Mus musculus: one gene and its partners. The protein of the gene in region 4 interacts with the protein of the main gene of each other region in a biochemical or structural test. Links are inferred from orthologs where the notes say so. Each region holds a gene or a part of one and is shown on either strand. Other genes may lie near its edges.

What was found.
Region 1: of the proteins of Srpk2 (region 4) and Rbm15, one has a biochemical effect on the other in vitro, tested with the Homo sapiens proteins (2 studies listed by BioGRID and IntAct). The link is inferred for Mus musculus from reciprocal best matches to the Homo sapiens genes SRPK2 and RBM15.
Region 2: of the proteins of Srpk2 (region 4) and Prpf38a, one has a biochemical effect on the other in vitro, tested with the Homo sapiens proteins (2 studies listed by BioGRID and IntAct). The link is inferred for Mus musculus from reciprocal best matches to the Homo sapiens genes SRPK2 and PRPF38A.
Region 3: of the proteins of Srpk2 (region 4) and Luc7l, one has a biochemical effect on the other in vitro, tested with the Homo sapiens proteins (2 studies listed by BioGRID and IntAct). The link is inferred for Mus musculus from reciprocal best matches to the Homo sapiens genes SRPK2 and LUC7L.
Region 5: of the proteins of Srpk2 (region 4) and Mapt, one has a biochemical effect on the other in vitro, tested with the Homo sapiens proteins (2 studies listed by BioGRID, with this or other methods). The link is inferred for Mus musculus from reciprocal best matches to the Homo sapiens genes SRPK2 and MAPT.

Annotation. Positions count from the first base shown.
Region 1 is NC_000069.6:107,330,481-107,334,742, reverse strand, and holds the start of Rbm15 (RNA-binding protein 15), read left to right. Parts: upstream 1-1,453; 5' UTR 1,454-1,662; coding exon 1,663-4,262. UniProt on the Homo sapiens protein: RNA-binding protein that acts as a key regulator of N6-methyladenosine (m6A) methylation of RNAs, thereby regulating different processes, such as hematopoietic cell homeostasis, alternative splicing of mRNAs and X chromosome inactivation mediated by Xist RNA.
Region 2 is NC_000070.6:108,576,537-108,580,654, reverse strand, and holds the start of Prpf38a (pre-mRNA-splicing factor 38A), read left to right. Parts: upstream 1-1,318; 5' UTR 1,319-1,540; coding exon 1,541-1,670; intron 1,671-3,566; coding exon 3,567-3,726; intron 3,727-4,118. UniProt on the Homo sapiens protein: Involved in pre-mRNA splicing as a component of the spliceosome.
Region 3 is NC_000083.6:26,276,898-26,280,412, reverse strand, and holds part of Luc7l (putative RNA-binding protein Luc7-like 1), read right to left. Parts: intron 2,868-3,515; coding exon 2,779-2,867; intron 1,081-2,778; coding exon 1,051-1,080; intron 453-1,050; coding exon 285-452; coding exon of another isoform or gene 281-284; exon of another isoform or gene 1-280. UniProt on the Homo sapiens protein: May bind to RNA via its Arg/Ser-rich domain.
Region 4 is NC_000071.6:23,515,457-23,518,971, reverse strand, and holds part of Srpk2 (SRSF protein kinase 2), read left to right. Parts: intron 1-252; coding exon 253-353; intron 354-448; coding exon 449-556; intron 557-3,515. UniProt on the Homo sapiens protein: Serine/arginine-rich protein-specific kinase which specifically phosphorylates its substrates at serine residues located in regions rich in arginine/serine dipeptides, known as RS domains and is involved in the phosphorylation of SR splicing factors and the regulation of splicing.
Region 5 is NC_000077.6:104,229,925-104,234,239, forward strand, and holds the start of Mapt (microtubule-associated protein tau), read left to right. Parts: upstream 1-1,511; 5' UTR 1,512-1,683; intron 1,684-4,315. UniProt on the Homo sapiens protein: Promotes microtubule assembly and stability, and might be involved in the establishment and maintenance of neuronal polarity.

The DNA of each region.
Region 1 (4,262 bases), on a different chromosome or scaffold from region 4:
TTCAAGTAGCTTATAAATTTAGAATTCAAGTTTTGGGGAAGGGCATTCTTATCACCTTGTAAAATGTCCTGTTTTAAAACACATTCTCTACTCAGTCTTAGAAGATGTAAATACCAAAATCTTTCTCATCTCTCCTAGGTACATTTTTGGGAAGACTGCAAAAAGCCTATTTCCTCTCACCAGGAGGTAAACGCTAGTGGGATAGACTACGCATCTAATCTCATGATCACCAGTATTACATAAGCTTAAGAGATTCAGGTGCATGGGGTCGCAGAGGTGGGAGACGGGAGGCGTTTAGACGGGAATCACGGTTAAAGGAGTCAAAGGAAGTGGATATAGGAGGGAGCAAGGTGGCCATGTTACTGGGTCCTACTATGGATTAATCGGAGTGCTGGAGTCCTAGAAACGAGATAAATGTAGTGTCCGCACAGTGAGAAGTGTGACACATTAAAGCAAAGCACAGCTATATTATGTCTCACACATCTTTTATAAATGCAAACCTTACAGGGATTCACAACATAAAGCAGGAAGCAAAAATCTGCAAGTGGTCCTGCAGGTCGGACCAGTAAGTGGGCTTGCAGGACACTGCGGGCCCTAAGGCGGCCACTGAGACTGGCCAGGGCTCCGCGGCGCTGTTCCCTGTGTCCGCGGGCGGGCAGTGACTCGGTACCGCCCAGGGCGTCAGCGTGACCCGAGGCTCTGTGAACCCTGAACTCACCGCCCCAGCGGGCCGCACAGACCGGGGCAGGCGTTTTCTCGCGCACGGGGGTGGGGCTTTTTCAGGCAGCTAACTAAGATGGTGTCGGCTGGACTGTCCGGGACAGCTGCCTAGGCGGATCGAGTGAGGGCCAGCAGCCGGAAGGACCACCGAGCCCATTGTCCCGCCCAGACAGGACAGTGAGGAGCCCGCAAGTTCCAGACTCGAAGGACCGAAGCACAGGCAAGTACGCCGTAAGGACCTAACAAATGTTTAAGAGAACGCCGAAAGCGCGGGGAGGCGGGCCTGACTCACTGTCACCATCTCGCGACAGCAAAGTGACGTCGCACAGCAAGCGCGTGGTCTTAGTCTTTCACCTTCAGACGCCTCAGTTTATGGGCCTACTCCTTTAAGTGAGTGATGGACAGCGCTTTTATCCAATCATGTTCCTCGTCAACATCCAATCAGATTTAAACTTTCTTCAGCCGCCGGAGAAGTTGGAAGACTGGGGTCGAAAGAGAGCGAGCGAGTGAGCGAGTGAGCGAGCGAGCTCTTTGTCTCTCGCGAGATCGGAGAGAGCCAAATTCTCAGGAAAAAACGCCTGAACTGATGTCCAGACTTCCCGATAGTGATTTAAAAGACGTGGCCACAAACCAATGAAAGGGAAGAGAAGGTGGGATCGCTGCGTTCGCCGTGCTAGAAGTACCGTTACAGGGCAGAGTTTTTGTCCAATCAACGCTTCTAGGCTTTGGGTCAGGTGACCATGAAGTGCGAGGGGCGGAGCTACAGCCTGGCGCGAGGAACCGTTAAGATAGACAACGAATATAACCAATGAGGTACTGGGATTAGGGCGTTGGGAACCCAATAACAGCGTCGGGGCGGGCGCCTTCCCGGAGCGCGGGGAGATGTAAAGACGGACAAATAGTTTTTCCAATGAGAAGGCTGAAGAGTGAATTAATTGACCAATGAGGTCTGCGGGGCGGGAGCCTTTGCCGCGGCGGAGTCCAAGATGGCGGCGTGCGAGTCCGCTGTGTGAAACGAGCGCGGGGTGGCGGGTTAGTCAGCTCCGCAGAGACGACCTCCGGCGACCCTCAACAATGAAAGGAAAGGAGCGCTCGCCGGTCAAGCCCAAGCGCTCCCGTGGCGGTGAGGACTCCAGTTCTCGTGGGGAGCGGAGCAAGAAGTTAGGGGGCTCCGGCGGCAGCAATGGGAGCAGCAGCGGGAAGACGGACAGCGGCGGGTCGCGGCGGAGCCTTCATCTGGACAAGTCCAGCAGCCGGGGCGGCAGCCGCGAGTACGAGACCGGCGGGGGCAGCTCCAGTAGCCGCTTGCACAGTTACAGCTCCCCGAGCACCAAAAATTCCTCAGGCGGGGGCGAGTCGCGCAGCAGCTCCCGGGGTGGAGGCGGGGAGTCACGTTCCTCCGGGGCCGCCTCCTCCGCGCCCGGCGGCGGGGACGGCGTGGAGTACAAGACCCTGAAGATCAGCGAGCTGGGGTCCCAGCTGAGCGACGAGGCGGTGGAGGACGGGCTGTTTCACGAGTTCAAACGCTTCGGTGATGTAAGTGTCAAAATCAGTCACCTCTCAGGTTCTGGCAGCGGGGATGAGCGGGTAGCCTTTGTGAACTTCCGGAGGCCAGAGGACGCGAGGGCGGCCAAGCATGCCAGAGGCCGCCTGGTGCTCTATGACCGGCCTCTGAAGATAGAAGCCGTGTACGTGAGCCGGCGCCGCAGCCGCTCCCCGTTAGACAAAGATGCTTACGCCCCGTCATCCAGCGTGGTCGGGACCTCAGTCGGTAGCCACCGGCACGCCCCTGGAGGAGGGGGAGGTCAGAGGTCGCTTTCCCCTGGAGGTGCTGCTCTGGGATACAGAGACTACCGGTTGCAGCAGTTGGCCCTGGGCCGCCTGCCTCCTCCACCCCCGCCACCATTGCCCCGAGAGCTGGAAAGAGAACGAGACTATCCGTTCTATGACCGGGTGCGCCCGGCCTACAGCCTGGAGCCGAGGGTGGGAGCTGGAGCAGGTGCGGCTCCTTTCCGAGAAGTGGATGAGATATCACCTGAGGACGATCAGCGTGCCAACCGGACACTTTTCTTGGGCAACTTAGATATCACTGTGACGGAAAATGATCTCAGAAGGGCTTTTGATCGTTTTGGAGTCATCACAGAAGTGGACATTAAGAGGCCTTCTCGAGGCCAGACCAGTACCTATGGCTTTCTCAAATTTGAGAATCTAGACATGTCTCACAGGGCCAAACTTGCAATGTCTGGCAAAATTATAATTCGGAATCCAATCAAGATTGGTTATGGTAAAGCCACACCCACTACCCGACTTTGGGTGGGTGGTCTGGGACCCTGGGTGCCTCTTGCTGCCCTGGCACGAGAATTTGACCGATTTGGCACCATTCGAACCATAGACTACCGTAAAGGTGACAGTTGGGCATATATACAGTATGAAAGTTTGGATGCAGCTCATGCTGCCTGGACCCATATGCGTGGATTCCCACTTGGTGGCCCAGATCGTCGCCTCAGGGTAGACTTTGCAGACACAGAACATCGTTACCAGCAGCAATATCTTCAGCCTCTGCCCTTGACCCACTATGAACTAGTGACGGATACTTTTGGACATAGAGCACCTGACCCTTTGAGGAGTGCTCGGGACAGGACACCACCCTTACTATACAGAGATCGTGATAGGGACCTTTATACTGATTCTGACTGGGTGCCACCCCCACCACCGGTTCGAGAACGCAGTGCTCGGGCTGCAACTAGTGCTGTCACTGCTTATGAGCCACTAGATAGCTTGGATCGAAGGAGGGATGGCTGGTCACTGGACAGGGACAGAGGTGATCGGGACTTGCCCAGCAGCAGGGACCAGCCAAGGAAGCGAAGGCTGCCTGAGGAAAGTGGAGGACGGCATCTTGATAGATCACCTGAGAGTGAACGGCCTCGAAAACAGCGTCACTGCACTCCTTCTCCTGACCGAAGTCCAGAACTGAGCAGTAACAGAGATCGCTACAACAGTGACAATGATCGATCATCTCGTCTTCTCCTCTTGGAAAGGTCTTCCCCAGTCAGAGATAGACGGGGCAGTTTGGAGAAGAGCCAGAGCGACAAGCGAGACCGTAAAAACTCTGCATCAGCTGAACGGGATAGGAAGCATCGGACAGCTGCTCCCACAGAGGGAAAAAACCCTCTGAAAAAGGAAGACCGATCTGATGGCAATGCACCCAGTGCCAGCACTTCTTCATCAAAGCAGAAGCCACCTTCCCAGAAACAGGATGGAGGGACAGCTCCTGTGGCAGCATCCTCTCCCAAACTCTGTTTGGCTTGGCAGGGCATGCTTCTACTGAAGAACAGCAACTTCCCTTCCAACATGCATCTGTTGCAGGGTGACCTCCAAGTTGCTAGCAGTCTACTTGTGGAGGGCTCAACTGGAGGCAAAGTGGCCCAACTCAAGATCACTCAGCGGCTCCGTTTGGACCAACCCAAGTTGGATGAAGTAACTCGACGCATCAAAGTGGCAGGGCCTAATGGTTATGCCATTCTCCTGGCTGTACCTGGAAG
Region 2 (4,118 bases), on a different chromosome or scaffold from region 4:
CAGTAATATATACAGCTTCCCAATCAGAGTGGCAGGTCCACCGGACCCATTTCCTAATCCACAAAATGGAAAAATAGTATCTCTTTTTATTCAACCAATATTATTTGAGGCCTGTGTGCTAAGCACTGTTCTAAGATAATCAGACTAAGAGAAAATACGGTATGATAAACCAATGCCCATCCTACTGTAGCCAACTATTGAAACAATGGATTCCAAGAAGTTTGACTTGTCCCCAGAACTTCATCCTGAAGCCAGAGGAACAACTTGTCTATAGGAAGGATTAGCAACAACAGTCTGGAGGAGCCTCTCAGGAGAGGGGGCTGAGATGTGTGTCTATAAGTGTTCCAGGACAAACGGGGCTACAGAGAGAAACTCTGTTTTGAACCCCCCTCCCGCACCTTCCCCAATCTAATTCTGAAAAAACAGGGTGTGGTGGTGCATGCCATTAATTCTAGGGCCTGAGGCAGAGGCAGTCTCTAAATTCGAGACCAGCCTGGTTCTGAGCAAGCTACAGGACAGCCGGCTCTACACAGAAAAATGTCTAAAAACCATTACAGTAGAAAATAATTACGATTATTCGACTTCTATGGAAAACTAAAAAGACCTCGTGACAGGAATCTCACAGCTCAAAGCTTAGAACTCCCAATTTCTCCAATTGTTAAGAGAAGGCTAGACCCAAGAAAGTAGAATACGAGCCATTAGATGTTTTCTCCAGTGATTGGAGATGAAAGCTCACTTAAGGGCAAGCCATGTGGAGAGGAGACGCCAAAGTCCCAGAAAGTGACTTAGAGAAAGTCTGTCTCTGGGCGGAATCACCAGTAAAGCGGAGAGCAACACCAGCTCCGCGGTTCCAGAGGAAAGGTTGCGAGTGCTTTTCAGAAGCAGTGCACGCGGAGAGCCAAAGCCTTAGGCTCCCCACCGAGGGCCGGCGCCACCCGCTTCTCCGAGGTCTCCTTCAGTGCAGGAAGTGTTCCTGGAGCTCCGGGGAGGCGAGAAGGTTTACAGGCTTGCGAGCGGTGCCGGCACCGACGGCCCTAGGTGCACGTGTATGCAGTCCGTGGACAACGACCCGCACTCACCTCGCCGACGCTTTGCAGTCCAGGCACTGGAGTAGCTGGGGGACGCTCGCTCGTCCAGGTCTGGCTCCTCCGGGAGACCACGGCTACAACACGTAGTCCCAGCTCTCAGCTGACTAAGAACTGAAGGCACAGGAGAAAACTTTTCGCGCCACTAACCGAAACCCCGCCCACAGTGTGATTCTGATTGGCGTTTCGGACACTCGCCACGCCCTCCCGGGGGTTCATGACGTACTTCCGCCAATTTGCTTGGGCCCTCTCTGGTGCGGGGTGTGCGTATTCCGGCGAAAGAGTTCTACGCCACAGCTTCCGGTACGAAGCTGGTGGCTTTCCGCGGTCGCAAGGGATTCCTTAATGTTTCCCTAGCCTCCGGTAGTCCTTTTTTTTTTTTCCCTTCTTTTAAATAAATACTGAATGTGACGTATTAAGCAAGCCGACGGAAATAGAATTGAAAGAGTTCTAAAATGGCGAACCGTACAGTGAAGGATGCCCACAGCATCCATGGCACCAACCCTCAGTATCTGGTGGAGAAGATCATCCGGACGCGAATCTATGAATCAAAGTACTGGAAAGAAGAGTGTTTTGGACTTACAGGTGAGCGACAGCGCGCAGCCCGCGTCTCGGCTTACGGGTGGTTTCTTCTGTCTGAGTGAGGAAGGACGGACCCTTTGGGGGTGATACTGGAAGAGTATGTCAACTATTCATATAAACTGCTCTGTGCCTGGACTTGTACTAGACGGGACACAGACAAATCTGACACGATCTTTTTCTCTTTTCTCTTTTTTCTTTTCCGTTTTCCGAGACAGGGTTTCTCTGTAATAGCCCTGGCTGTCCTGGAGAACTGCTGGCTTCGAACTGCCTCTGTCTCCCGAGTGCTGGAATTCAAGGAATACACCAGCACCGCAGGGCTCACCGGTCTTTCCTTCTTTCTTTCTTTCTTTCTTTCTTTCTTTCTTTGGGGGGGGGGGGGGGTGGGCTCCGAGACAGGGTTTCTCTGTAGCCCTGGCTGTCCTATGTCCTGGAACTCACTTTGTAGACCAGGCTGTCCTCGAACTCGAACTCAGAAATCCGCCTGCCTCTGCCTCTGCCTCCCAAGTGCTGGGATTAAAGGCGTGCGCCACCACGTCCTGCTTGACCGGTCTTTCTTTTTTTTGTTTTGTTTTTCGAGACAGGGTTTCTCTATAGCCCTTGCTGTCCTGGAACTCACTTTGTAGACCAGGCTGGCCTCGAACTCAGAAATCCACCTGCCTCTGCCTTCGAGTGCTGGGATTAAAGGTGTGCGCCACTACACCCGGCTTGACCGGTCTTTCTTGATGCTGAAGGATTTCTTTAGTTTTTTTTTTTTTTTTTTGAGCCATTCCATTTTTTTAAATTAATTAATTTATTTGTTTATTTATTTATTGATAGTCTGCTGGGTCCTAGATTGTTTATCTCAGGGACCAGATAAGGGTTCCTTTAATGCAGCTTGAAGATGTTCAAGGAACTTCACCATTCCTATAATAAAATTCTTGCTGTTCTTAAATGGGTCAGTAGTTTCATTTTTGACCTGCTTCCCCTAGTCCTTTAGGTTTCTGTTTTGTTTTGGGGTTTTTTTGTTGTTGTTTTTTTCCCCTGAGACAGGGGGCCTTGGATGGCCTGGAACTCTCTTGAACACACAGAGATTCATCTGCCTTCCCCTTCTGGTCCCTAGGATTAAAGGCATGAGCCACCTCGCTGGCTCCTAAGTTTTTTAGAGTGGCTCTCTGTCAGCTGTCGTAGCTTTGTTCAGCTTCACCTGGTGTGACTCTGGCTGTGGTTCTTGAGCATGTAAAATCACTTAAGCTCTTTTTTGTTCTCATTATCCTTAGCTGGAAGCCAGGACAATGATTATTTGTTTTTTTGTTTTGTTTTAGACAGGGTTTCTCTGTGTAGTCCTGGCCCTGGCTGTCCAGGAACTCACTCTGTAGACCAGGCTGGCCCTGAACTCACAGAGATGTGCCTGCCTCTGTCTCCCGAGTTCCGGCATTAAAGTTGTACACCACCCCAGACCAGCATCTGGTAGTAATAAGAGGACTTTTCCCTCATAATTTGTTGTATAAAGATTGAGGACTCATGAGTCCCACCCTTCCTTGATGGACTAAACAATTAATGGAGACTGGGACGAGGGGTCTGTCTCTCTCTGTAGTGCTGTAGTTCCAGGCATATGTAGCCCTGGCTGTTCTAAAACTCACTCTGCAGACTAGGCTGCCTCAGACCCAGAGATCTGCTTACCTCTGCCTCCTGAGTGCTGGGACTGAGCAATCATCACCATGCTCAGGGTTTTTTGTTTTTTTCCTTTTTAAGGCTGTTATTAATAAGCTCTTGTTCTCTTAATATTAAATTCTTATTGACTATTTAGGAACTCTAAACCTTTAGCTATTTAACCTTCCAACCAAGAAAAACTAAGGCCAAGAAAAACTAAAGCCTTTAATATGTCTAAGATGTATGTCACTTTGTTTTTGGCTGTTTCAGCTGAACTTGTAGTGGACAAAGCCATGGAGTTAAAGTTCGTTGGTGGTGTGTATGGTGGAAACATAAAGCCAACTCCTTTTTTGTGTTTAACCTTGAAAATGCTTCAGATTCAACCTGAGAAGGATATCATTGTTGAGTTCATAAAAAATGAAGATTTCAAGTGAGTATGTTAACAAGTACAACACTTCTAGTGGTTCAGAATTGGCTTTGTTAATAGGACTGTTGTGTTTCATTTCCACACGCTTTTGCCCTTGAACTTGTATTTTGTTTGCTGTGGTAACATAGACCTAACTCCCCCTTCCCCCAAACAGATTTCACAAATTAAATAAGTATACACACATAGTATTTGTACATATGCATACATACACACATACACACAGATTCTCATCAAAGCCATATGTTGGTAGCCATCAGATGTGGGAGTCATACAACATAAGATGTTAGTTGAAAGGTTAGTTCTGTATCTTATTTAGACTTTGTTACCTATTGACTGTGACCCCATAGAATTTCTTTAATTATTTAAAGCCTATCAATGTAGGGTAAACGTAATTA
Region 3 (3,515 bases), on a different chromosome or scaffold from region 4:
TTTTACCAAGTTAAAGTAGGTAAAGCCCAGCAAAGCGGAGCCATGTGAGAGAGCTCACTGCCCTGCCCCATCCCAGCCAAGTGTTGTACTGGTGCCGCTCTCTATTCCTCGGGGCACCAACACTGGGTGCTAGTCACCCAGAACCTGCATCCCCACAAGCCCAACCTTGTCCCTACCAGATGTAATGGCCAAAAGGCAAGGATGACAGATCTTAGCAGATCTTGGGAACACAGAGACAAAGGGCTCACTCCTGGTTGAAGTTACTGAGGAGTCAGAGTAGTTACTTGTATTTTGTACTCCGGTCCCTGGAAGCCCGGCGGTGACCCCGGCTGTGGCTCCGGGAACGGCTGCGATGGCGCCTGTATCTATCTCGGGATCTGGAACGGGAAAACTTCCGCCGCTCTCTGGAGGTAGACCTAGACCGCCTCCGTCGACGATCCCGGGAGCGTGACCTGGAAAACCCAGATGATTTTGAAAGCTAAGATGTCACTGGGATCAAACCACCCTCGTTCCTCAACTCTCAGCATCTATTGGCCTTCAGGGTTCTTGGGATTCCTTTTTCCTCCTACAATGTACAATTTGGAAGTGAAAGTCCCCTGAATTAATCGGAAGGCCGTATCTTTCCCCTGAATGTTTCTTGAAAACATAGGTCTTGGCCAGGTAAGGTGGCATATGCCTTTAATATCAGCACTTGGGAGGCAGAAACAGGAGGATCTCTAAATTCAAGGCCAGCCTCTTCAATAAGAATTCCAGGACAGCCAAGTTATACAGAGAAACCCCATCTCAAAAAACAAAACCAACCACCACCAACCCAAAAACAAAAAAGGACTTGGACATTCCTAGTTGCTCTTCAACGGGGTCTCCCCTCACCCCAGCAGTGGCAGCGTATGTGTGAGAGCATGGGAGTCCACGTGGTATCTTTCTACTGTGCTAAACCCTAACATCTATACTCTTCACAAAACAGTCTTGTGAGGCTGTGAACATCAGTTAAATGTTTTTACAGAAAAAGGCACTCAACCTGAGAGCCCTGTGATAGATCTTGAAACCTACCTTCTGCGATCTCGGGTTCTTGATCCAGACCTAAACAGAAAGATAAATAGATGAAAAATGTTAATCCATCTAAGAGACAAAGGCAAATGGATCTCCGTGAATCTGAAGCCAGCTAAGGCAACTTAGTGAGATGCTTCAAGAGTGCATAGATGAGTCTGGCTCTGATCTTTTCTTTGAAATTAATCCCAAATATTTATCGGAGTACTTCTCAGGCATCTCAAATTGAATACAGCCAAATTCTTTTTTTTGTTGTTTTTTTTTGTTTGTTTGTTTGTTTTGGTTTTGTTTTTGTTTTTTCGAGACAGGGTTTCTCTGTATAGCTCTGGCTGTCCTGGAGCTCACTTTGCAGACTAGGCTGGCCTCGAACTCAGAAATCCGCCTGCCTCTGGATTAAAGGTGTGCGCCACCACGCCCGGCTGAATACAGCAAATTCTAACTCCTATTCCTGGTTCCACCCTCCCTGTTCTAGGTAAGGAACAACTCCAGATCAGAAACCAGAAAGGCAAGCCGGGCGTGGTGGCGCACGCCTTTAATCCCAGCACTCGGGAGGCAGAGGCAGGCGGATTTCTGAGTTCAAGGCCAGCTTGGTCTACAAAGTGAGTTCCAGGACAGCCAGGGCTATACAGAGAAACCCTGTCTTGAAAAACCAAAAAAAAAAAAAAAAAAAAAAGAAACCAGAAAGGCCAGGTAGGCATGATAATACATGCTTTAATCCCAGCATGGAGAAGCAGAGACAATCAGATCCCTGATCTACAAGGCTAGTTCCACAATAGCATGGGATATACAGAAAAACACTGTATCAAAAGACCAAGAAGAAAAGAAACCGTGAGGCCAACTTCATTCCTTCCTAAACAGTCACCAAGTCCAGTCAGTTCTACTCCAGACCGCCTACCCCAGACCTTATCACCCACACTCTTCCTGCCTCTTAACTCCCGTTAGTGCCTCACTGGTGTGGAGGCTTTTGCCAAACACCTTACATTTTGCTTCTCAATGGGCAAGAACATATTCCAACCACATATTTTATGGGAGTCTGTCCAGTGATCCCACATAACCAATTAAAAAGAAAAAAGACAGCCATACAAAGCTTCCACCCTCAAGTCCAAAGCTGATGATTTCCCTTCAAGGCACTGCCATGAGACTGCTGCTTAGCTACCATTAGTAGATCCACTTTTGCCTTCCCTATTTGATAAGGGCTCCATGGCCAGCTGTCAGAGGAGCTGTCTGGGTGAGGTTAAAAGATGGCTGGGTAGCAGTGGGACAGACCTTTAATCCCAGTCCTTAGGAGGCAGAGTCAAGTGGATCTGAGTTTGAGGGCAGCCAGGGGTCTACAGAACAAGTCCCAGGACAGCTGGAGCTATACAGGGCAACTGTAGGGGGTAGAGAGGGACACACGGACAGAGGGGGTAAGAGGAAAAGGGAGAGGGGACCCTTGTCAGCTCCTCCTTCCCTAGTTCCAATCAGTCAGTGTTGCACCTCACCACAGTGAATATGTCATAGGTTTTGCTTTTAAAGGCTACACTGGAGCCAGGTGTGATGGCATATACCCTAATCTCAGCCCTTGGAAAGCAAAAGCAGGCACATATCTGTAAATTCTAGGCCAGTCCGGATTACATTAGTAAGACCCTGCTTCAAAATAAATAAATGCATGCTTTTATATGTTTCAAACACTGATGGCTCCAAGTCACAAAACAGCAACAGCAGTTTCCTAAGGCTAGCCCCCATGCTTACCTCCTGCCCAGGCGCTCTTCTCGCTCTCTCTCCTCTCTTCTCCTCAATCGATCCTGATTTCTTTTTTCCTGTTTTTCAGCCACAGTTTTCTAAATAAATGAAAAAATGGGAAAATAAGGAGAAGCAACAGCTTTTAGGAAACAATATTCTACTCAGTTAAAAGCTAACAGAACACATGAAAAAAAAATTAACCATCATTTTCTACATTTGGTGACAAATTACAGAAAAGGGGCTGAACTTCTAAGACACAGGGCTTAAATCACAATGTTTCAAACCAAGCCATAAACTGTTCCTCCTACAGCCTCTCCATAAGCTTTGTAGTAAGAAATGTTAGTTAAAGAAACTTAACTCAGACCAAAAGCAATAGCACCCTGCTGTTGGGAGTAGAGATGTAGGTACCCAGAAAACAGCTCCCTTTTGATTTGGTGTGTGCTATGATAATATCAGCACAATTCATCAAGCTTGATCCTATATGCAACAGAAGCAGGAGGCTCTGAGAACCTCTACCACCAAATCAGCATCAACTTAAGTTAGCTTGAATGTGTCAAGAACCTCTACACACACCAATAATGCTGAGGGAGGGAGGATGAGAGGACAGTGAGAACACAAAGGAAAGAATGGGACTGAACAGACAGTTCAGCAGGTAAGCTGCTCTGCCATGGGACCTAGAACTTTAGAGCCCACATGTGAGTAAAAACTGGCTCTAACTCCTAGGGATCTGTTGCCCTCTTCTGGCC
Region 4 (3,515 bases):
CTGAGGAAGCTGGAATAGGGTTGCTGTCAGCCTCAAGCTGCTGCTCAGATGGCATCAAGCCAACTGCTTAGAAGTGATTGGTCACCCTTGCTTATCTTTCTGTGGCTTCCAGTGAGCTGGATACAACCCAGGAGGAATGATCCCAGGTGCAGGATTCTTTTCTGTCCAATCATTCTACCTGGCAAGCATTGTGCTCACACATGCAAACCTCATGACCCCAGTGCTGATTCTTTTGTTCTTTGCTCATGGCAGCAAAAACCCGGGCGGCTGACCTGTTGGTGAACCCTCTGGATCCACGGAATGCAGATAAAATTAGAGTAAAAATTGCTGACCTGGGAAATGCTTGTTGGGTGGTAAGTAGTGTTTTCTTTTTACATTTTAATTGTTATTTAGTGTGCGAAGATGCTTTTGTTTTTTTTTAATATTTATCACATCTATTCCTTTCCAGCATAAACATTTCACAGAGGATATCCAGACACGTCAGTATAGGTCCATAGAGGTTTTAATAGGAGCAGGCTACAGCACACCTGCAGACATTTGGAGTACAGCTTGCATGGTAAGAACGGCCTTTGCCACTCTCTTCTCTAGAAATGGCTTCTCCTTAATGCTCTCAATGAGGTGGCGTCTTGTTAGAGATCATCCTTCACTTTAAAATGGGTGAGAAGAGGAAAATGTGCCTGGGTCTTTAAGCATTGGGAGAATTCTCCGGTATGTATGTCTTGTGAGACATGGTCTCTTCAGGCCCTGTGCAGACCATTGTCCCAAGAGTGAGATCCATCTGAGGAGTTACCTTTAGTCTCTGGAAACGTGTGGGTGTTTTAGGCTCCTTGTCACACCATGGGGTAAAATCAGATGCCTTCTCCCAGGAGAGGGTGGCAGCACTTGTCACTTAGCAGCACTGTCATGTGGCCGTTACATGTGCAGGCTCTCTGTTCTCCTTCCTACTTAGAAGGGATTTCTCCATCTGCCCATGCACAGTTGCCTCCATCCAGCGCAGTCACAGTGTGCTGGCTGCTTTTGCAGCGTGTGCCAGCACTGCTGAGACAACAGTGGGGACACAAGCTTCCTGGGCTTGAATCTGGTTTTCTTTTCTTTTCTTTTCTTTTCTTTTCTTTTCTTTTCTTTTCTTTTCTTTTCTTTTCTTTTCTTTTCTTTTCTTTTCTTTTCTTTTCTTTTCTTTTCTTTTCTTTTCTTTTCTTTCCTCCCTCCCTTCCCCTCCCTCCCTTCCCCTCCCTCCCTTCCCTTCCCCTCCCTCCCTTCCCTCCCCTCCCTTCCTTCCCCTCCCTCCCTCCCCCCCTCCCCTCTCTTTTTTCTTTTTTCCGAGACAGGGTTTCCCTGTGTAGCCCTGGCTGTCCTGGAACTCACTCTATAGACCAGGCTGGCCTCGAACTCAGAAATCTGCCTGCCTCTGCCTCCCAAGTGTTGGGATTAAAGGCGTGTGCCACCATAGCCCGGCTTGAGTCTGTTTTTCGAGGATCATTAGTGGTGCTTTCCTGACAGACAGCAGGAGGAGGAACATCCCTTTGTATCTCTGCCTTTCCAGTGCTGATTTTGCAAGCATGTGCTGCAGTCTGTCCCTTACCTTCTTATATGAGTTCTTCAGATCAGACTCACAGGCTTCCATGGCAGACACTGCCCTGAGCCATCTTTCAGCCCAGTCTTTTTATTTGTTTCTTTTTTGAAATGTAGCCCAAGCTGGTCTTGAAACTCAGCCTCCTGAGTGCTGAGATTACAGGCATGGCCATTATACCCGGCTTAGTGCATCTTCTTGTCATCTCTGCTAAACTGTGAATTGGTAAGCATGAGTAGCCTCACACTCCAGAGCCAGTCCCAGGGGTCTTCACTGTGAATAGCAGCCAGCTGAGCACATTCTTCTCAGTGGGTTCTGTTGTTCTTTGATGGAAAAGGTGGCATGTGTGTGCACGTAGCTTCTGCTGCTGCCATAGTTATTCGACTTGGTCTTTCTTTATTTTATTGTAGTTGTAGGGCAGAACCCAGAGGTTCACCAGGCAAGTGTTTTTCCAATTGAGTCACATCTTCAGATCTTGTATTAATTTGTATAGAATTTTTCTTTGGATATCTAAATGAAAGGGCTCCGGTTCAAGGCCTCCCCCCTCTCCCTCCCTCCTCCCCTTCCTTCCTCTCTCTTTCTCTCTCTGCTTTCTTCTTTCTTCTCTTTCTCATTCTCTTTCTCTTTCTTTCTCTTTCTCTCTCTTTCTCTTTCTCTTCCCTCCCTCCCTCCCTCCCTCCCTCTCTCTCTCTTTTCTTTCCTTTCCCTTTCTTTCTTTCTTTCTTTCTTTCTTTCTTTCTTTCTTTCTTTCTTTCTTTCTTTCTTTCTTTTCTTTCTTTCTTTCTTTCTTTTCTTTCTTTCTTTCTTTCTTTCTTTCTTTCTTTCTTTCTTTCTTTCTTTCTTTCTTTCTTTCTTTCTTTCTTTCTTTCTTTCTTTCCTTCCTTCCTTCCTTCCTTCCTTCCTTCCTTCCTTCCTTCCTTCCTTCCTTCCTTCCTTCCTTCCTTTCTTTCTTTCTTTCTTTCTTTCTTTCTTTCTTTCTTTCTTTCTTTCTTTCTTTCAGGATTTAATTATTTTATGTCAGTACACTGTCTCTGTCTTCAGACACACCAAAAGAGGGCATCAGATACCATTACAGATGGTTGTGAGACACCATGTGGTTGCTGGGAATTGAACTCAGGACCTCTCAGCACTCAGTGAGTGCTTTTAACTGCTGAGTCATCTCTCCAGCCCCCTTCATTCTTTTTTTTACAAATAGTTTCATTGATAGCCTTTTTTAAACACTACATTGGAAACCCAAGTGCTGTTCAAAATAATTATCTTTGAAAGAACACATATCTGATGATTTCACTGTAGAACAATGAGAAGTAGCTGTAATGAGAAGGATGAACACAAGACTAAAGAGGGGCGAGCACACAGCCAGGCTATCCTTGGAACCGAGCCTCTGTTGCGCCCAACTTCTCTTTCATCCTATCAGGGATTCCAGATATGCCTCTTGGCTTGCAGATTATTGAATTGTTTTACAGACACAAAACATTCTCATCTACTTGGAATTTGAGCCAGATTTGTCTTTCCATTATCAGAGATTGGTCCAGCTTCTACGATTACGTGTTAACTGGCTATTAAATGTTACTTGGGTAGCTAGTAGAGAGTCCCAACCTGGGGTGCCTTGTTGCATCTACAGTGCTGGGTGGTCAGGCTGTCTTCTGCTGAGATGCTGTGCTCTGTCAGACCCAAGTCTGCTTTAGGACAGGGGCCCTGATTTTATAATCATCACATAGGCAGCTGATCACAGTTTTGCTGTGTTGTTTTTCTCCAACACATGTAAGTACCCATCATATCTTTAAAAATAAAGGATATGACTGCCCTGTTAGTTAAAGAGAGCTGCTTCCCAGTAAATGCCTCTCAAGGCGTGTTCTCACACTCTGGCCTGGCCGTTAAGAGGAGGAAAGAGAAGACTAATGCCAGGGCGGCACTCAGTGATGCCTCTTCAGCAGGAGTGGGAAAC
Region 5 (4,315 bases), on a different chromosome or scaffold from region 4:
GTCATTCCAGAATAATTCAGTAATTAAGCTCATATGGGAAAAAATGTTTGTGGTGCTAGAAAACTGAACCCAAAGTTATCTCAAAATTTTATTTTGGGGGCTGGAGAGGTGGCTCAGGGGTTAAGAGCACTGACTGCTCTTCTGAAGGTCCTGAGTTCAGATCCCAGCAACCACATGGTGGCTCACAACCATCCACCCCCCCAGCCCAGAAGTGTGTTTGTTTGTTTGTTTGTTGACTCACTTTCACCCTGTAATACAATTCAGGCTGGCTTGGATTCTGCTATATAGCCCAGGCTGATCTTGAACAAGTCTCAGCCTATCTGAATGCTGGGATTACAGATGTGAGCCAACACACCGAGCAGGTACAACGTTGGAGTTTTAGAAACAACTGCTGGGATAGCAGTGCACACCTTTAATCTCAGCACTCTAGAGGCAGAGGCAGGCAGGGGATCTCTGTGAGCTCCAAGCCAGCCAGGGCAACATAGTGAGAACCTGCCTTGAAAAATAAAGAAAAAACGGCATGCAAATGAAAGCTTCAAGACAAGTTTTCGCCTCTTTGGCAAGAAGTAGGTGCCTGTCTCTCTTCCTTGCATTTGAACAGGCTCCAGCTGTCCAAGAGAATTGAGCTTTGGGGAGGTAAGATATTAAGCTAAAGCCACAGCCCACGCCTACGTAGCTGGAAGGAGAACTAATGACCAATTTCAACCGGAAGCTTGACATCCAGCAGGTGGCCATCTCCAGCAGGCACCTTAAAAATTCAGCTCTCACGCTGTACAAAGGTGTTTCAATAAACGAGATAAAAATAACTCTGTGAAAATGCCTTGCAGTGTGTGTGGTAAGCATCATTAGAACTTACCTATTTAAAGATTTTTCTTCGCTAGGGTCACAGTCAAGATACCTAATGGGTTTGAATGCTCCTTGATTTAAAAACAATTGTTTTTCCACGAAAACGCTAAAGTGTATTACGGTCAAGTTAATCTGTTTCGAGAAGATTTGTCAAGGAAATCATTCACTTTGGCCATTAACAAAAACAGGTGGAAAGAAAGCAAGCGAACAGCTGGCCCTGGAAATAGAAAGTGCGCTCTATCTGGAGGGCCACATTTTAGGAGACTCGGGGAGCCTGTAGCACTTGGGGTTCACGGTGTACCGCCTGGAGAGCCAGCGAGGGTGAACTGAAAAGCGGACGATGACCGACACACCGCTCTGCCTGGACCCCGCGGGGACCGAGGGAGGGGACCCCTGGACTAGACAAAGGCTGCAGCCCCGGGAGGCCGGGTGCGCGTGCGCCACGGAATGCGCGTGCGCGCGGCGGTCAGCACCGCGGCCCGAGGCGTGGCGGGACCCGGGGAGGGAAGCGCGGAGAGGGGCGAGCCGAGCGGCGCGGAGAGAGGAGGGTTGAGGGGCGCTCGCGTGCGCCCCCTAGCGGTCGGAAGGGGAGGTGCCCGCCCAGGCCTCGCTGCCCGCCCCTCCCCTAGGGAGGTTCGCGCTCCCGTGGCTCGCGCCTGCGCTGCCCGCCGGCCTCCAGAACGCGCTTTCTCGGCCGCGCGCGCTCTCAGTCTCCGCCACCCACCAGCTCCAGCACCAGCAGCAGCGCCGCCGCCACCGCCCACCTTCTGCCGCCGCCGCCACAACCACCTTCTCCTCCGCTGTCCTCTTCTGTCCTCGCCTTCTGTCGATTATCAGGTAAGCGCCGCAGCTCTGAAATCCAGTCCCCTCTGGCCCTGTGCGCCGTCCTCCTGCCACCCCTCGCCCCAGAGATGGATTTAGGGAGCTGGGCATCAATCAGGCGCAACGGCGGGGGCCTCTCTGCGCCCTAGGCGCTGGGGAGCTGGGAAGGAACGCGTGCAAGAGATGCACGCACGCGAGCGAATGCGTGTATCTATGAGTGCTGGGGTCCCCACTATCGGCTCCGCGCAAATGAGGGGGGCTGTGCCCGCAGGGTGGGGCGCGGATGACGGTGACCTAGGGAAGGGGTTGTTCTGTAATCTGGATCTCAGCCTTTTGCCGCAATGGGCGTGGGTCTGTGAGTGTGCATGGGGGTCCAACGACGACCCCCGAAACAGAACCTGAAATCGGATTTCTCTGCTCCTGATTGCCATCAGCCCTAAGGAAGGTGTGGATCGGGTTCTAGAAAAGATGACTGCCTTCATGTCTCTCCACCTCCCTGACAGCGATTCTGACACGGCCTTCACTGGCCCTGATTTAAGGCGGTGGCCCGCCCCCTCCCCTTTTCCTCCTTCAGAAGCCGGCAGGGGACATTTGGGGGCTGGGAGGAATCCGGAGGATGGGGAGGGGTCCAGGCGCTGTCACGTTAGTCGCCCTTCCCCCTGCGCGCGCTTGGTACAGTGACAGGGGCAGCGCCGTGCCCGAGAGAAGGTAGTGCGCGGATCCCAATGTGGGAGCTCGAAGAGTCAGGGGTCACCTGGCCTCGCGGTGTCAGCGGGCTGGCTGGCAGCGGCTCCCCGCTCGAGGGCGCGCAGCGTTGCAGCCAGGCACAGACCCACGCGAGGGCTGCAGGTGCATTTCGGGGCGCGTTTCTTTCTCTGCGTTCTGCGCCGGGCTCCCGGCATGTGCGCTCCCTGCCGGAGGCGCGGGCTGGCGCGCAGGGCTCGCCCCTCACTGCGGCAGTGGGTGTGGACCTGGGTGGGCGAGGAGGGGGGAGTACGATGTGTCTCCTCCCGCTGCCACCCCTCTCCGTTTTTTCCCCCCTCTCTGAACGCGAGGTGCCATCTTTTTGCGGCGAGTCACGTCTCTATCGTAGCATGCCAAGAGCTGTGGCCAGGCTTTGGAGGACCCGGCTTGGACCCATGTTAAAGAACAGGGGGTGATGAACACGGAAGCCTTGGCGTTTTGCCTCTGCAGCGGTGCGCACCAGAGCGTTCACCTGAGGTCGTCTAGGGGAGCTCGCTGCTTTGTTCGTCGTGTGATTTAGGATCTGCGCTCCCAGCCCTGGTTTTTTGGGGGAGTGTGCGGGGGGAGGCGGGAAGCTTTCATTCGACGAGGATATTTGCCTACGCACTCGGAGCAGCTCCATCCTTTTTTCGCCACTCTTTTCAGACCCTTTGTTGGATCTACAGACTTGCGGCAGCCCACTCCCCAGTTCGACCCAGAGCCACATGGGTGGGATTCGAGATAGACTCTCGTGTGCAGGAGCCCTCAGAGGAAGCACATCCCTCCCCACACCCAGGCCATCCTGAGGACCACACCCCACTTGTGTTTCACTGCTAGGGGAGCCAGATAACCCTCGGGAATGGGGAGATTCGGCAAGCTCAACTCCGCATCCCCACCACCACCACCACCGTTGAACCCTGTTGCCTCTCCCGGTGGGAGAGTGTGAGGAGAGGGTATGAGATCCCCTGGGATACTGCGGCCACACCCATCCCTCCCAACCCAAGGAGAGAGGGTTAAGGGTTGCCATAGGAACCACACCAGCCAGAGGAGGAACCTCTGGGCGTTACCTCACCCCCTACCTCCCACCCCCTACCTCCCACCCCCCCCCTTACTCCGCGGAGATTTAGAATCCTGGGGTAGTCTGATAGTGCCTGGAAGACACGAGGAAGGGGCCCCTCATCCCTGATGCGAGCATCATTCTCTTGGCACTGGCAACCATAGCCATCCAGAGAGAGAGAGAGAGAGATGCCTCTAATGTATTTTATTATAAGCGTGCTGACTGATATTATTTTATTAATATCATTTAAATGAGGGACTTTCATTTTTAAAAAAATCCACATCTACAACAGCCCTTGAAACCAGAGAGGGATAGAAAGCTAAGAGGTCCCAGCCTCCCCACCGTACAGTAAGCTCGGTCTTCGAGGTTTTCTGGTTAATTTTACCGCTGAATACTGGTGCGGGTAAGCAGTTTTGAGACCGATGGATGAGCTTCTTAAGGGCCGAATTGCCCACGTCGACTGCTCACTCAGATTGATGTAGGCTGGGGGTGGAACGCCCTCTCCCGATCAAACCGCGGCCTGAGGCTGTGGCATCGTGGCCGGGCCCGCCTGGCAGAAATTTCGCGAGCATCTGAAAGATAGGTTCAAATACTACCCATCCCTCGCCACACGACGGGCTGCTGGGAACAGGATTCTTAAGCTAGAAGAAGCCAGGCTCTTGGGCTGGATGCGGAAAGGGGAAGGCTGGGAGGGGGGGCTGACTATAGCGGGCCCGTTGGGCAAAGGTGTCACAGCGGAAAAATCAGCGGGAGGGGGAGGAGACAGAACGTTTTACCCAGTGCAGAAACAAAGCTCAGATCACAGCGTCTTCGAACTCCCATTTTGCACTGTGTTGAGGGGTCGAGTGAGGTACTGTGCTGGCCAAG